Mytilus edulis: one gene and its partner. The protein of the gene in region 2 interacts with the protein of the main gene of each other region in a pairwise test. Links are inferred from orthologs where the notes say so. Each region holds a gene or a part of one and is shown on either strand. Other genes may lie near its edges.

What was found. The genes of interacting proteins can lie anywhere in the genome.
Region 1: the proteins of phosphatidylinositol-3-phosphatase SAC1-like (region 2) and vesicle-associated membrane protein-associated protein A-like interact in a two-hybrid assay, tested with the Drosophila melanogaster proteins (2 studies listed by BioGRID). The link is inferred for Mytilus edulis from reciprocal best matches to the Drosophila melanogaster genes Sac1 and Vap33.

The regions. Positions count from the first base shown.
Region 1 is NC_092348.1:66,991,263-66,998,722, reverse strand, and holds the start of vesicle-associated membrane protein-associated protein A-like, read right to left. Parts: upstream 3,110-7,460; 5' UTR 2,996-3,109; coding exon 2,944-2,995; intron 1,307-2,943; coding exon 1,154-1,306; intron 390-1,153; coding exon 283-389; intron 1-282. Other genes in the region: cilia- and flagella-associated protein 418-like, read left to right, coding at 3,493-3,593.
Region 2 is NC_092348.1:14,407,235-14,415,339, forward strand, and holds the start of phosphatidylinositol-3-phosphatase SAC1-like, read right to left. Parts: upstream 3,038-8,105; 5' UTR 2,983-3,037; coding exon 2,957-2,982; intron 1-2,956. Other genes in the region: uncharacterized protein, read left to right, coding at 3,339-3,399. UniProt on the Drosophila melanogaster protein: Phosphoinositide phosphatase which catalyzes the hydrolysis of phosphatidylinositol 3-phosphate (PtdIns(3)P) and phosphatidylinositol 4-phosphate (PtdIns(4)P). Has low activity towards phosphatidylinositol-3,5-bisphosphate (PtdIns(3,5)P2).

The sequences.
Region 1 (7,460 bases), about 53 Mb from region 2:
TAGTGTCAACAAATGGTTTATCTACAATATCACTAGCAGGGACAGTGCTGGGTGTCATCAAGGTTGCATTTTGGTTTTTTATTTCATCTGGCAACAAAATACAGCTGCTGGTGATATTTCTGATGTTAAAATTCTCAGTCTTTTTTTACTGTAACGGTAACAATATAGATCTTCAAATTAGTTTTGTTTGTAGAAACTAGTGATAATGATGCTAGTACTGAATTTTTAAATATATAATCAGCCTCCTATTTCTGTTAGGACGAGTACAAACTCAAAACATACCAATTGTTCCTGGCTTTCAATTGGGCCATCTGGAGCAAACATAGTCTGAACCATAAACTTGTGTTTATTTTTTTCCAATGGATCATAGTCAAAAGGTTGCAGCATTACTGAAATATATCAAAGTTATTAAGTACAAAATACTTCAATTACAAACATGTTGTTAAATGTTACCCTTCTTCACAATTTAGTCCATATTTTGAGAATCTCATTTTAATGATTATTCAAATATTGCATAGATTCAAAAAAAATCCCATGCATTTTAAATTTGCTTATTCACAGAGAATAATTTAATAGAACATGTAGAATGAATGTCCACAATATCAGCGTACATCATACCTGCCAACTTTTCAAAATGCCCATGGGGGTTTTGCATGCAAGATGGCTGTTATAGTCCTAAAAAACCTTCAAGGGGGCTTTCAGATACATTTTAATGTTGTTTTTTTGGCTTCTTCATACTTTTATAAGCCTAAAGTCATTGTAAAATTAATTGTTTTGTTTAAAATTGTGGACAAAATTGCTCTTTCAAAATTTCCATTTGGGAGCCTCCATGGGGGAAATCCCCCGCAAATAGTGACAGTTGGCAGGTATGGCGTACATACTTTTTAGGACAAGATTAGATTGTAGAAATCCTGTTATTGTTTAGTGTAGTCCATATTATATATATACATTATACATGTAAACAAGAAGATCATAATGTGGTATGAGTGCCAAATGCCAATGAGACAACTCTCCATACAAATCACAATCAACTTCATATTCAAATCATATGCATTGTAAAGGTACATAAATACAGCAACTGTCATGACTGTAATATAAAGTTAATATGATTAGCACCACAGTTCAGATTGTTTAGGGTATATGTAGCTCTTACCCGATACATTAACACTTTGGTTTGGATCGATGATGCCACTGTTTGGTCTGACACAGTACCTCTTTGGTGCTGTGGTTTTTACTTTGAAACATACTTTCTGGTCTGAGGGGTTGGTCAACTTCAATTCTGATGTTACAACATCTGTGAATGGTCCTACAATAAAAGAAATGGGTTGAAAAAAGAGATAATGAAAACTTTATGTATGTGTGTTCAAGTGTAATTTATAATGTTGAACTTTTCAATGAGCAAATTATTTTTTATTAACAATCATTAATGCAGTTTACAGTCATGAAAGTTTTACTTTGCAAAAAAGTAGTAATAGGGTCTCTTGCCATAAAATTATTGGGTAATCCAGTCAGAATATTTTTTATTTTCATTAATCGGAAAATATAATAAATGTATAAATCATGTATTAATATTTTGAGATATATGTACATTAAGAAAGTGATGATGTACATGGTGTTGCATATTTTTGATAGATCTAGAACACACCTGTGACAAAGTGAATCCCTGACTGATTTAAAGTACCTACGCTTAATTTTTAGTATTCATATTGTCATCTGATAAACATGATAAAGTCATACAGCTTATAAAGTGTAGTTTTCTCTGATTTTATTTTTTTTCTGTTTGAACCTGTAATGGTATCCTTACTTCTATCGTAAACTTCATGTGACATTACTATCGGCATTTTATGTACAGTTGCAACCTATTATTTTAAATGAGTAAAGTATATGGGAAAATTAATATTTAAACTTGGTAATTTTAAATTACATTCAAACAACCACCCAGTGTCAAGAGAGACTCCTGCAGAATACACCAGCATGACTAGTAGATGATTTAATATAGTGAAGAGTCACCTTCTTGTCTTCTCATAACTGGCCAAATATTATCAGTTCCCTGAAATTTCCTTCTCCCTTAAGCTTGTTCATGTTATTGTCAGCTGTTTGGAAAATGGCAGTATGGTCAGATCATGTATTTTCATATGACATATTAATTCGCACTTTGCATATTTTTCAATTGAAATCGTGATGTAACATTGCATTCTTAATAGCATGAAAACCCTGGCATGAGACAAGGCTGTATTAAGATGATTTAGGTTTAAGAAAAAGAGCCTAGAGGTGAAAAATGTTAATGTTTTGAAACAGTTTCAATCAGCATACAGATTCTCACAAAATTTAGTAAAAGGACACACCACAGTGAAAATAAGGATAAACAGTTGTTGTACACTTTACGGGTTTGTGTTGCTTATTCTTTAGTTTTCTATGTTGTGTCATGTGTACTATTGTTTTTCTAATAGTCTTTCTTCATTTTTAGCCATGGCGTTGTCAGTTTATTTTGGATTTATGAGTTTGACTGTCCCACTGGTATCTTTCGTCCCTCTTTTATTGCTATTTGACTGCCACTACTAGACATCACAAAATTAAAGTTCCAATAAATTTTGATGTTATGATAGAAAATATCAGGAGCTACGATGGAAAAGTAATAGTTGAATGCGGGACAGATTTCCAAATAGTGTTAAGGTTTGTTCTATCTGAACTTTCTTATTTTGTTAATAAAAATAAGTTGTTGACATGGTCATGAGGTTGAGATATATTTTAAGAACACAATCATTTTCAAGATAATTTTTATATATCGAGAACGCGTTAGATATTAATTGCTTTAGATTGGTATTAAGTTAATAAAACTATTAAATTAGTTGTATTGGATAGGGTGGTATCGCCACATCGGCCGGTTATTGGGTCATACAATTGTATTTTCATTATGAAGTCAGCGAACTGTTGAGCGATTACCTTTAAATTTGAGTTCAATGTCTGGGTCTAATCTCAGCACTTGCTTTGCCATAACGATTTGACTTTAAGGTGCAGAATTAAACAAATATATGCAATGAAATATAAAAGTCACATCTGCCAGACTGGTTTCGTGGTATACGCATGCGCTCATTACTCATTTGTAAAATATACAAAAATTACGAACAAAACGAATTTACAACCAGAATAAATAAATTAATAATCCAATGAATTATTCAATTCCTTTATGCTTTATTTCTGAAAAAATATTACTATTAAACAGTTTGTATAAATGAAAATATTACAATTTAAAAACTCAAGTGGATTTAAAAAGTTGTGACAACAGGTCGATTCCAGATAAAAAAAATCATATGTTTGTAAATCAAGTTCACCCTTATATTATCTGTTACCTTTTTTTAATTCTTTGAAGGTAAAAAGTAGCAAAAGCAATTTAAATCAGTAAGCACAGGAAGTACAGAGAAAAATGTTTGGTAGTGACAGCTAAGTAGCACATTTTTCTTGTTCATCTTATTTTAATTTCTAAAATATAAAATGGCTGATGATATAGATGATTTGTTAGATGAAGTAGAAACAAAATACTGCCCTAAAGATAGAAGAAAAGGCAAAGAGACATCAAGTTGTATAAAATCAAGGTTTGTTTGAATATTGTTTTAAAATAAACTTAAAATGTGAAATCTGGATCATGTCATGTTTATAATAGGTACATGTTGTCAGGTTAAGTCTTTGAGATATATAAAAAGAGAGCAGTGTGTACAATGAAAATCAGAAATGAAAGTAAATCATGTTATTATCAACATAATATACCACAAGGAGTAGTGAGGGGCCTGATGGGTCATTGTCATTCTTAGTGATAGGTGCATTTTTGCTATCATGATCAGTTTTTCTACAGATTTTTTTTAATATATTTTCGTGATACATGATGATGGAAATTTATTTTCTGAGAATGGTGATGAGATGTAACATAAAATATTGTCCTCCATGAAATATTGTCTGTCGGACAAATTTTCATATAAAATATTGTCTGACAGTATTTCATAATGAAATAGTGTCCTTGTCCATGAAATTTTGTCACCTCCTTCTGGACAATATTCCACTATGAAATTCTGTTCATGACAATACTTCACCTGTTCACTATGAAATACTGGCTTTGAAAACATTTTTTAATCAAATTATTTCACAATTAGAATCAGTACACAAGCATGCAGCATGCACATTTTTAGATTTATAACTGAAATTGTTTTGTATAACAACAACAACAACAACATATAGTAGAGAATTTATATTATTACTAACTGACTAATAGTGAGTTTCAAATTTGCATTGAAACATTACCATGATTACAAATGGTTTATTATAGATTAAACAATTGTCTAAAGTAGGTTTCATTTTATTACATTATACTGTACAAATATAAGTAATGTACTGACAATTGCTTATTTTGTAAATATATACACAGGCACATGCAGATGTTGCAGAAAAAAATCCTATATACATGAATATATGTTGATAACCTCCCCTTCATGAGACAAAATTCCATGACAATCTGTTTATGAAATATTGTCTCAATACTCACGAAATATAACCAAAATATAACCTCCCTTTAACAGAACACAATTTCATAGTATTCATCTATGAAATATTGTCTTAATTCACACAAAATATAACCTCCCTTTAACAAGACAAAATTCCAAAGTATTCATCTGTGAAATATTGTTTATATACAGACACAATTTCCTTCTCAGGACATTTTTTCTATGGAGAGGACAATATTTCATGATACATAGTCGTGAAATATTGTCTTGTGGTACAATATTTCATAGGACAATATTTTGCTTTACAGAGACCATCAGGCCCCTCAGTAGTATAATTACAAAGATTTTTTTTATTCTTGATGATTGACAAAACAAAGTAACTTATAATATTTGTGCAAGTGTTGAACACTTTATTTTATATTCTTTAAAATATACCAGAGGCACTTCTGGTTCTAAGCTCTTCTATAAGTTTTTAAAAGCACATTTGATCACAATAACTCCTATATTCTTAACAAATACAGAGTAAGTTATGAGAAAGATAAAATCATAAGTTATCAAAAACTCTAAATCCACTGCAAAAAGATTTTACAGGAAAGTTATCTCCCCTGTTATGCAAAATATTTAAAACAGAATTCAGTTGGTAGTTATTACTAGCGAGTAAATAGAAGGTTTTGAAATCTATGAAACACTGATATGCCCATTGATAAAGAAGCCACACAGATTGGAATAAAACAAATCTGAGAAAGATACAACTCGTGCAATAATTACAGAAAAAATATAAATAAAGCTTTTTTAGTACAGTCTATAAAGATGTTTTATTTTTTTATTTTATGGCTACAATTGAATATACCCTGAGATTTGAATTTCTATAATGTGGAAAAAATTATGAAAAGACCTTGACAACTCTGACACAACTCTTTATTTTACTTACAAATTTTACATATATAATATATATATATATATATATATATATACTTTTTCACTTTTTTGGTCTTTTGGAAAATGTTGTTTGTGCTGTATTTAGACCCTTCGACAACGAAATTTGTTTTACATGCACACGCATAAAAAATGCGGTTTTTATCCAACGTTTATATTTTTTCGTTTGGGCTTGTATCATATTTTCCCTCCGGTTTATATGATCCGTTCTTCCTATATTGACTCTTAAAATTCAAGAGTCTATCTAAAATTGAGGGTAAATTATATGACCTTCCAAATACCGTTTTGATCCCTAACATCACTGAAGAGACATATATTATCGAAATCTAGATCTGGTGTACAAAAAAAATATTGACACCTTGTGTTTGTGGCACAACATCTTGGCCACAAGTTTATTGTTTTCAGTTTAGTATTAAATTTATATTATTAAGATCCATTTTGTTACATCATGTACATCTCGTGATCAATTTTATTTGGCAATCGCCAATGGCAGTCAGCAGGGTTAAAGAACATCAGTTGTTCGACCTGTTAGTCAAATGCGTTTTGTTTAAATATACTTTTTCACTTTTTAGCTCACCTGGCCTAACCAACCAAGATGGCCGCCATGGCTAAAAATAGAACATAGGGGTAAAATGCAGTTTTTGGCTTATAACTGAAAAACCAAAGCATTTAGAGCAAATCTGACATGGGGGTATAATGTTTATCTGGTCAAGCAAGATCTATCTGCCCTGAAATTTTCAGATGAATCAGACAAACTGTTGTTGGGTTGCTGCCTCTGAATTTGTAATTTTAAGGAAATTTTGCTGTTTTTGGTTATTATCTTGAATACTATTATAGATAGAGATAAACTGTAAACAGCAATAATGTTCAGCAAAGTAAGATTTATATATAAGTCAACATGATCAACATGGCCAGTTGACCCCTTTAGGAGTTATTGCCCTTTGTAGTCAATTTTTAACCATTTTTCGTAAAACTTAGTAATCTTTTACAAAAATCTTTTCCGCTGAAACTACTGGGCCAAATTATTCCAAACTTGGCCACAATCATCATTAGGGTATTTAGTTTAAAAATGTGTCCGGTGACCCGGCCAATCAACCAAGATGGCTGCCATGGTTAAAAATAGAACATAGGTGTAAAATGCAGTTTTTGGCTTAAAACTCAAAAACCAAAGCATTTAGAGCAAATCTGACAATGGTTAAAATTGTTTATCAGGTAAAGATCTATCTGCCATGAAATTTTCAGATGAACCCTTTGTTGGGTTGCTGCCCCTGACATGCCTGAATTGGTAATTTTAAGGAAATTTTGCCGTTTTTGGTTATTATCTTGAATATTTATATATTTATATAGAGATAAACTGTAAACAGCAATAATGTTCAGCAAAATAAGATCTACAAGTAAGACAACATGACCAAAATTTTCAATTGACCCCTTAAGGAGTTATTGCCCTTTATAGTCAATTTTTAACATTTTTCATAATTTTGGTAAATTTAAAAAAAATATTTTCCACTGTAACTACTGGGCCAAGATCAGTATAAATAGAGATAATTGTAGCAACAAGAATGTTCAGTACAGTAAGATCTACATACACGTCACCATCACCAAAACACAATTTTGTCGTGAATTTATCTGTGTCCATTGTTTAATATGCACAAAGACCAAGGTGAGCGACACAGGCTCTTGAGAGCCTCTAGTTTGGTCTTTTGGAAAATGTTGTTTGTGCTGTATTTAGACCCTTCTACAACGAAATTTGTTTTACATGCACATGTATAAAAATTGTGGTTTTTATCCAACGCAATCATAGGTTTGAACGTAGTTTTCAATTTAGACTTGTATATATATATATAAGTACGTCTGAGTCAGTGACAACTCTACAATAGATTTATCCATCAGATCACCAGCAATGATGGTGATACATGGCTGTGTACATTATGTATATACAACTCATCTAAACATCAACCCAACAATGTTAGATCTGTAAATTTGCTTTCGCAAATTTTTCTTTGTTCTTTCCTCGCCGGGATTCGAAACCCA
Region 2 (8,105 bases):
TCCGAATTTAATTACCATAAACAAATAAACACATATACAAAAAAATATTTTAGTGTCGAAATTTTAGTGAGGCAATTGCCTCACTTGCCTCAATGGTAGTTACGGCCTTGTGATGTACTGAAAATTCCACATCTCGAGTGAGAATCGAACTCGGGACCTTCAGTACTGTAGCCATCGGTCTTAACCACTAGACTTTTAAATTTTATTTAAGTTTCAATGTAGATTATTATACCTTACATTATAAACAATTATGTGATTGACTAATACAGAACCATGAGTCATAGTTTAATTTTGATGTTTATCCAAAAATTGACAGAAACGATGAATAACCCCAACAATTTGAAACCTTTTCTTGCAATAAAGAATAATGGTCCGAGACCACAATTGTCGTCCCTTGATTTTCGTTGTTCACAAATATAGTCCCTAGTGTTGACAGTGGGTTACTTGCCATTAATTTTTATCATGTTTATACCCCTTCCAAATTTATTTCTCCATGTTTTAATGCCTCATATTGCAAGTAGGGGGGTGAAATTACACTGTAAACAACATGAACAAATTTGGGTCCAGAATTTTAAAGGAAAGTAGTGATTTGGTCCAGGTGAAAAAGGTTGAAAAATAGCACTTCGGAAGCTGTCAAAAGATCATTTCAAGACGCCCTAAAGATAAAATTGTCCATATTTTGAGTTAGAGGCGATGAAGTTTTCTATAATTTTGATATAATTTGTCCCAAAAGTAGTACAACACACTGTAAAAGTTTCTTTGAGAAAGCGCAGGTGGGATTTTTTAAATTTTCATTTATGTTGTAAAAGAAATGCACTACGAAATAATTGTGGTCTCGGACCTAATGGATACTCATATAACATGTTTTTTTTTATCTACCCACAACTATTCAAAATATTGTCAACTTGCAGAAAAATATATATTGCCAGATATATTCCACAGTACAAAAAAAAACAAAAAAAAACCCAAGTGTTATAGAAGCCTCTGATGTTAAATGAAAAAAAAAAATACAATTAATTATTATTATATACACCAAACAAAAGATCAAACTATAAAGACCTTGTTGATTACGTAACTTTAATTAATCAGGATTTGATTGAATTAAGTGATTACGAGTGGCATCACCTTAGTTCACAATCATCAGACAGTTGTTGAATAAACAAACCAGTTATAGACCCATCGAAACAACATCTGATAAACAAATTTAATAATACTTTTAGATATTTGGATGATATTTTGGCTCTCAATAATGACGACTTCAGTATGTATATTAATGAAATTTATCCTGTTGAACTTACTTTAAATAAAGCTAATACTAACAATGACCACAGCCCTTTTCTCGATCTTCATGATCTTGATATCTATATCACTAATGGAAAGCTGAATACTAAAATTTATGATAAAAGGGATGATTTTTCATTTCCTATCGTTAATTATCCGTTTTTAGATGGTGACGTTCCCTTGTCACCATCTTACGGTGTTTTTATATCTCAACTTGTACGATTCGCTCGTGTATGTAACAATGTTTTAGATTTTAATGAGAGAAATTTATGTATTACTGAAAAATTATTACACCAGGGTTTTCGATATCACAAACTAGTCAAAACATTTACTAAATTTTATCATCGGTATAAAGACATCATTCGTAAATATAGCTCAACATGCAGACTTCTAATACGTTCAGGTATTTCACATCCAATTTTTTATGGTAATATTCTTTATAAAGCACAAAGGTGTCAGTATTCACCTCAGAAACTTACAAAACCTTTGAATAGACTTATTAAGAAGGGATATAATTACGATACTGTTGTCAAGTCATTAAAGATTGCATATGTTGGCGTTAATATTGAGTCACTGATAAGGTCTTTGCATCGGAACTAAACACATTTATTCTAAAAACAGTTGTTGGCATGACACGGGTTATGTTCTTCTCATATATGTTATGATGGTATGATACTAAACCCCTAACGGGAAGGATTGTGCCTGATGTTCATATGATGAAATCATAATCTTTCAGTCAGTTTAATTAAAGTCTGGAGCTGGCATGTCAGTTAACTGCTAGTAGTCTGTTGTTATTTATGTATTATTGTCATTTTGTTTATTGTCTTTGGTTACATCTTCTGACATCAGACTCGGACTTCTCTTGAACTGAATTTTAATGTGCGTATTGTTATACGTTTACTTTTCTACATTGGTTAGAGGTATAGGGGAAGGGTTGAGATCTCACAAACATGTTTAACCCCGCCGCATTTTTGCGCCTGTCCCAAGTCAGGAGCCTCTGGCCTTTGTTAGTCTTGTATTATTTTAATTTTAGTTTCTTGTGTACAATTTGGAAATTAGTATGGCGTTCATTATCACTAGACTAGTATATTTGTTTAGGGGCCAGCTGAAGGACACCTCCGGGTGCAGGAATTTCTCGCTACATTGAAGACCTGTTGGTGACCCTCTGCTGTTGTTTTTTATTTGGTCGGGTTGTTGTCTCTTTGACACATTCCCCATTTCCATTCTCAATTTTATAGACTAATGATTTGAAGTCATTATGATGTGAAATTTTAAAGGTTCCATTGGACTGTAAATATTTATTTAGCTATTCTGTGTGTGATCTAAATAAAATAAAAATCAAATTCCATTTAAAAATTTATACTATTAAAATTTGTCACAAATTCCTCCAAAAACAATATAGTTTATTCATATTTTATTAAGGGGCCGGATCGACATGGGACCGGATCGACGTGGGCCGGATCGACTTGGGGCCGAATCGGTTTGGGACCGGAACGACCGGATACCTCTGAATGACAGTCATGACGGTTTGATGCCGACTTGACTTGTCTGAAGATCATGACTTATTGACTGTATTTTCGAAAAGCAATTTTCCCGGTTTTTATGAGCTCTATGATATTTTACAATTAATGCATAGGTTGACATTCGTTTTCTTTAACGACTAACAAATACATACAGAGTTAATGAATCGTGGACAGACATTGTCACTGGTGTGATCGCCGATCGCCTGACGTGACAGTTATGTGTTATCTCCCCTTGGTTTAAAAGCTAAATTAATGAAAAATAATTAATCCTTGTTTCAGCAAATTTTCGAAATAAAATTTCTAGTTGTGTATGATTCAAGGATAAGTGTTATTAGCAGTAATTTAATACTTGCTTTTTCGTTACCTCACTTGACTAAATTTATCAAAAAAGTTATATATTTTCGATAAAAAAACGTCTCCGGTGCTGCAATACATAATTTGTATATGACATCATAATTTTAGATTAAGTTCCGGCAAGACCCTCTTTTATAAATATAGAACATAGTGACATACATCTTAGTATAGACATACACAATGTTCTGGTATTTGGCTTTTTGTTCCCTTCCATTTGTTCTTGGATCTTATAGTTCCAAGTGTAAGTTTTCAAAATAGTAACACATTTCTAAAGTTTGTAGTAAACATTGAGTAAAAAATATGTGTAAGGGGGTCTTATTTGGGGGGAGGGGGGGGGGGGGGGGTGTTCTTATCCCCCCTCTAAATATAATCTTTAGAGTTAGCTAGGATATACATATATGGGCTATTTCAAAAAAAATGATGCCTTTCCTTTAAACCTTTGTCAGTCTCTTGTATGATACTATATCTGTAATGTTTTTAGGTCAGATAATGTATTATGATTAGTTGGTCCTAACTACCAAAGATAATAGCAGTATGTGCTCTGTTTAAAAAATATTGTCCAAAATTGTACCTCAAAATGTCAGGAGTGTAACGCTTTTAGTGTGACATTTAGAAGAAAGCATGTGCATTCATTGATGATATAGAATAAATAAGGGCAGATACAATACCAAACAATATCTTTCATCCAACTATTATATCTTTACTATGATTTCTTGTTTAATTCTTCCATATATTTACATTTTTATGTGCCTCATAAGGTAAGTCAAATAAGTTTGTGTTTAAAAAAAAATGTTAGTAAAAGTCAATATGCTGCCAGAAAATGTCTTTGTAGGTGAAATAACATGTTTCTGTACATCTTGCACGGTTTATTCTTTTAGGTAAGTATCATAGCTTGGCACAGGTGCATCCAGTTGACCCTGAAGTTCTACTACTGGAATATTATGGTTACAATAAGAGGACTACCCAGGTCTGTCAGGAGTGTAACAACTGGGTTAAGATGTATTTTTTTTAGAAACAATGTTGTTATAGTTGTTGTTTTTTCTTGTTTTTCAGTGAACATTACCTGTTACAGTTTATCAGTAACAAACATGCCATTATTATGACCTTCATTGCTTTTGTATGCTCAATACTTCAATGTCAGGAGTGTAACACAAAAAAATGCCTTATTTCAATCTTATTAGCAAAGGTAAGTTATTGGAAGAAAAACAAGCTGACAATTATTATAAAATGACATTACTACACCTCAGCTTAACACAGAATACAAGTCTACATCATTACTTTTGAAATTTTTGAACTAAAATTGCAATTGAACTAGCTTGTTTAAGTGTGTTACAGTCCTGACATACAAGTATTGAGCATAAACAAGCAATAAAGGCCATAATAATGGCATGTTTGTTACTGAAAATATGCAACAGATGGTGTTCACACTCAAATTCCAGAAAGGAAAACCAATAATAACAACATTGTTTCTATAAAAAATAACATGAATGTTACACTTAAACATTTTAAAGCGTTACACTCCTGACATTTTTGGGTACATTTTTGGACAATTTTTAATATACAGAGCACATACTGCTACCATCTTTGGAAGAACGAACAAACTTATCATAATACATTATCTGACATAAAAACAGCATATATATAGTATCAAACAAGAGACTGAACAAGGTTTAAAGGAAAGCCATCTTTTTTTTTAAATAGACAATTAGCAAAATTTGTAAATATGTAAGAAGTATATAATTTTCTTTAACCTGTTCTTAATTTGCACTAAAATAATATGTGAAATATAAAGACTCTACATGATTTCAGGTCAGTTTCAGGTTAAAATATGGTAGAAATAAATTATGGTCAGGAGTGTAACATTTGTTACACTCCTGACAAGTTTCTGATGTAGCTTATCTATAACAAAATTCAACATGATTCTTTATTAAAATAATTGTAACATCTTTACAATGTTATGAGAAAGCTGATCTGTCTTGTAAAAGTGATTTTTCTGCACACTATTCACCAAAGATTCTTAAAAATTAAAGTGTAATTCTCATTAAACATGTTAAAAGTTTGCTCTTTGCTCAGAAATTAAAAAAATATGTAATCAAATATCTAATAAATTTATTTATTTGTGAGATTGTAAATTTAAAATAGATATCATTACTGATTTTCTAAACATTCCATTAAAAAACAGTCTTACAGTTACTGAAAAAATATGTCAGGAGTGTAACAAAAGGATAACAAACACATGTTTGTATTTTTTAAATGAAGAAAACTTAGAATTGACTGAAGCAATTGTTGTGAAATTTTCAGAGGATGTAATTAGATCATATATGTTTGCTTCCTTATACTTTTTATATAAAATTAAAGCTTTTGCAAAGAGATATAAAAACTTTTGAAATAAGATATTAAAGAATACACTAAAAATTGGTGAAATTTACATATTTAAAAAAAAAAAACTGTTTATAAGTAAAAAAAAATTGCAGGAAAATCATTTAGAACCTTTATTGCAACAAACAAAAAAATTACATTGATATTTAGATTCTTATTTATGTTTGTCAGTTGATATTATTATTATGTTGTTTCCTTTGAAAAGTGGATGAATTCTTATGAGTAAAATGTTGTTAAAATTTTTGTTTTTATTATTTTGCATTAACCCTTGGTAGTTTTGTAAACTTGAATGTCTCTGGATTAAAGAAAAATGATAGAAAAAAGATTAGCAATGACTTAATTTTTTACCATGTTTGTCACACTTTGGCATCATTTTTTTTGAAATAGCCCATATATGTAACAGCCAAAAAATATGATAACCTTTCAAGATGTCATATTAATTTGGACGAGCAAATAACATAAAATTGAGAATGGAAATGGGGAATGTGCCAAAGAGACAACAACCCGACCATAGAGGGTACTTATAAAGTGAGAAACGGAATCGAAACGAAACGAAACGAAATATAACGAAACGAAACGAATTACAACGAAACGCAACGAAATACAACGAAACAAAACGAAATATAACGAAACGAAACGAAATGAAAAAATGAAGAAACGAAATACAACGAAATGAATCTGACCCTTATGTTATGCAATTGTGTGGTGCTGTTGATGTAGTTATCATTGTTACAACCACGCTAAAACAGTATGTAAGATGAAAAGAAAAACTCCTTTGATCTCTTAATTGAGGATTGTAAATTAATTTATTGTTTATTGAAAGACTGCATACTTTTCTACAACCCCGTGTGGACGTGCTACCCGTTCTGACGTACAATATAACACTTTGATGTTCCAAAAATACTTTTTAAAGGCATTGTCTTTCATCCTGTCGGCTCCCTTTATCATGCCTGAGTTTATATATGGGTAAGTTGTGAGCGTGAGAAAAAAAATCAAAGGTCTTTGAAGTTTTCTAAAACGCATTCAGCACCAGATGTTGCACGGGCTCCAGCCAGGTATATATAAAAGGAATATTTTTTATTCAACCGTTATTACGCAAAATGGAGCCCAATGAGAAGGAAAAGAAAATGTAAGTACCCTTATACATGTACATTTTAAAATTTATTTCGACAGTGTTAGTAGTTAAGGAAACAGAACTTAAAAACATTTTGATGTTGAGTCATTGCAATTTTTAGTAGCTAACCAGCTGATATCTGATATCTTTATAGACCATAATGGCAAAATATTTCAATACATGTTTACCCCGCCACAGTATGCATGTATGTGTATATGTATGTGCCTGTCCCAAGTCAGGAGCCTGTAATTCAGTGGTTGCCGTTTGTTGCTGTGTTACATATTTGTTTTTTTTTTTCGTTAATTTTTTGTACATTAATTAGGCCGTTAGTTTTCTCGTTTGAATGGTTTTACATTTGTCATTTCGGGGCATTTTATAGCTGACTACGCGGTACGGGCTTTGCTCATTGTTGAAGACCGTCCAATATAGGAACGAACTATATTATAAAAAGCCGTTGAAAAAAATCTTTTGGCCTTTATATCAGAAACGGAGAACTATTGGGTACTACGGGAGTTTTTAACGACCTTGACTGGCTATAAAGCCCTTGCACGGTCGGTACTATTGGGGAAAAACAAGTTCCTATCCTAATATTTTTTTTCGAATATAAGTACTTACATAGCATTATTAAACTCGGTAAATCCGAGAAACTTGAGAAAGGGGAGATCATTTTTTCTTGTGAGGGGCGTCACCATTTAAAGTTTTGTGTTCGTGACTCTTTCTGCACGGCAAATTCAATCCCTTTTACACCACCCGTATTGAAATCATGGACCTGCCCAATTACAGGGTCGTTGAAAAGACTTCTTTATACATGACATTTGTATAATTGAATTTGAAAATATCTTTTCTATATAATAGTTTTATTTTGAAGTATTTGTATTATGATTGAGGAAAATTTCTTTTGAACTAAAAGGGCTGGGGAGGGGCAATATATTTGATGCTTTTGAAGAGGGTTTCGTTTCTTCATTTTTACATTTCGTTTCGTTTCGTTTCGTTGTATTTCGTTGCGTTTCGTTGTATTTCGTTTCGTTTCGTTATATTTCGTTTTGTTTCGTTTCGATTCCGTTTCTCACTTTATAAGTACCCGACCATAGAGCAGACAACAGCAGAAGGTCACCAACAGGTCTTCAATGCAACAAGAAATTCTCGCACTCGGAACAGTATACCATCCAGGAAGTACAATGTACCAGTAGCACTTCCAATATGAAAGACTGGGAATTTGGTTTCGCTTTTGATGTCCAAATAGACAAAAAAACAACCTTCATGTACATGATGTATGTAATTATCATGATTATAACATGTGTAACAAGAAAGTTCCAAATTGTTTGTGGTTATCTTGTGTTACCTCCATATACAGTACTGACATTGTGTCTTGGAAGGGTCCATTTCATATATACAGTACGCCCAGAGGGTATGTAATCGCGAACTCTAATCACCGATTTCTGAGTGTAGCGGTG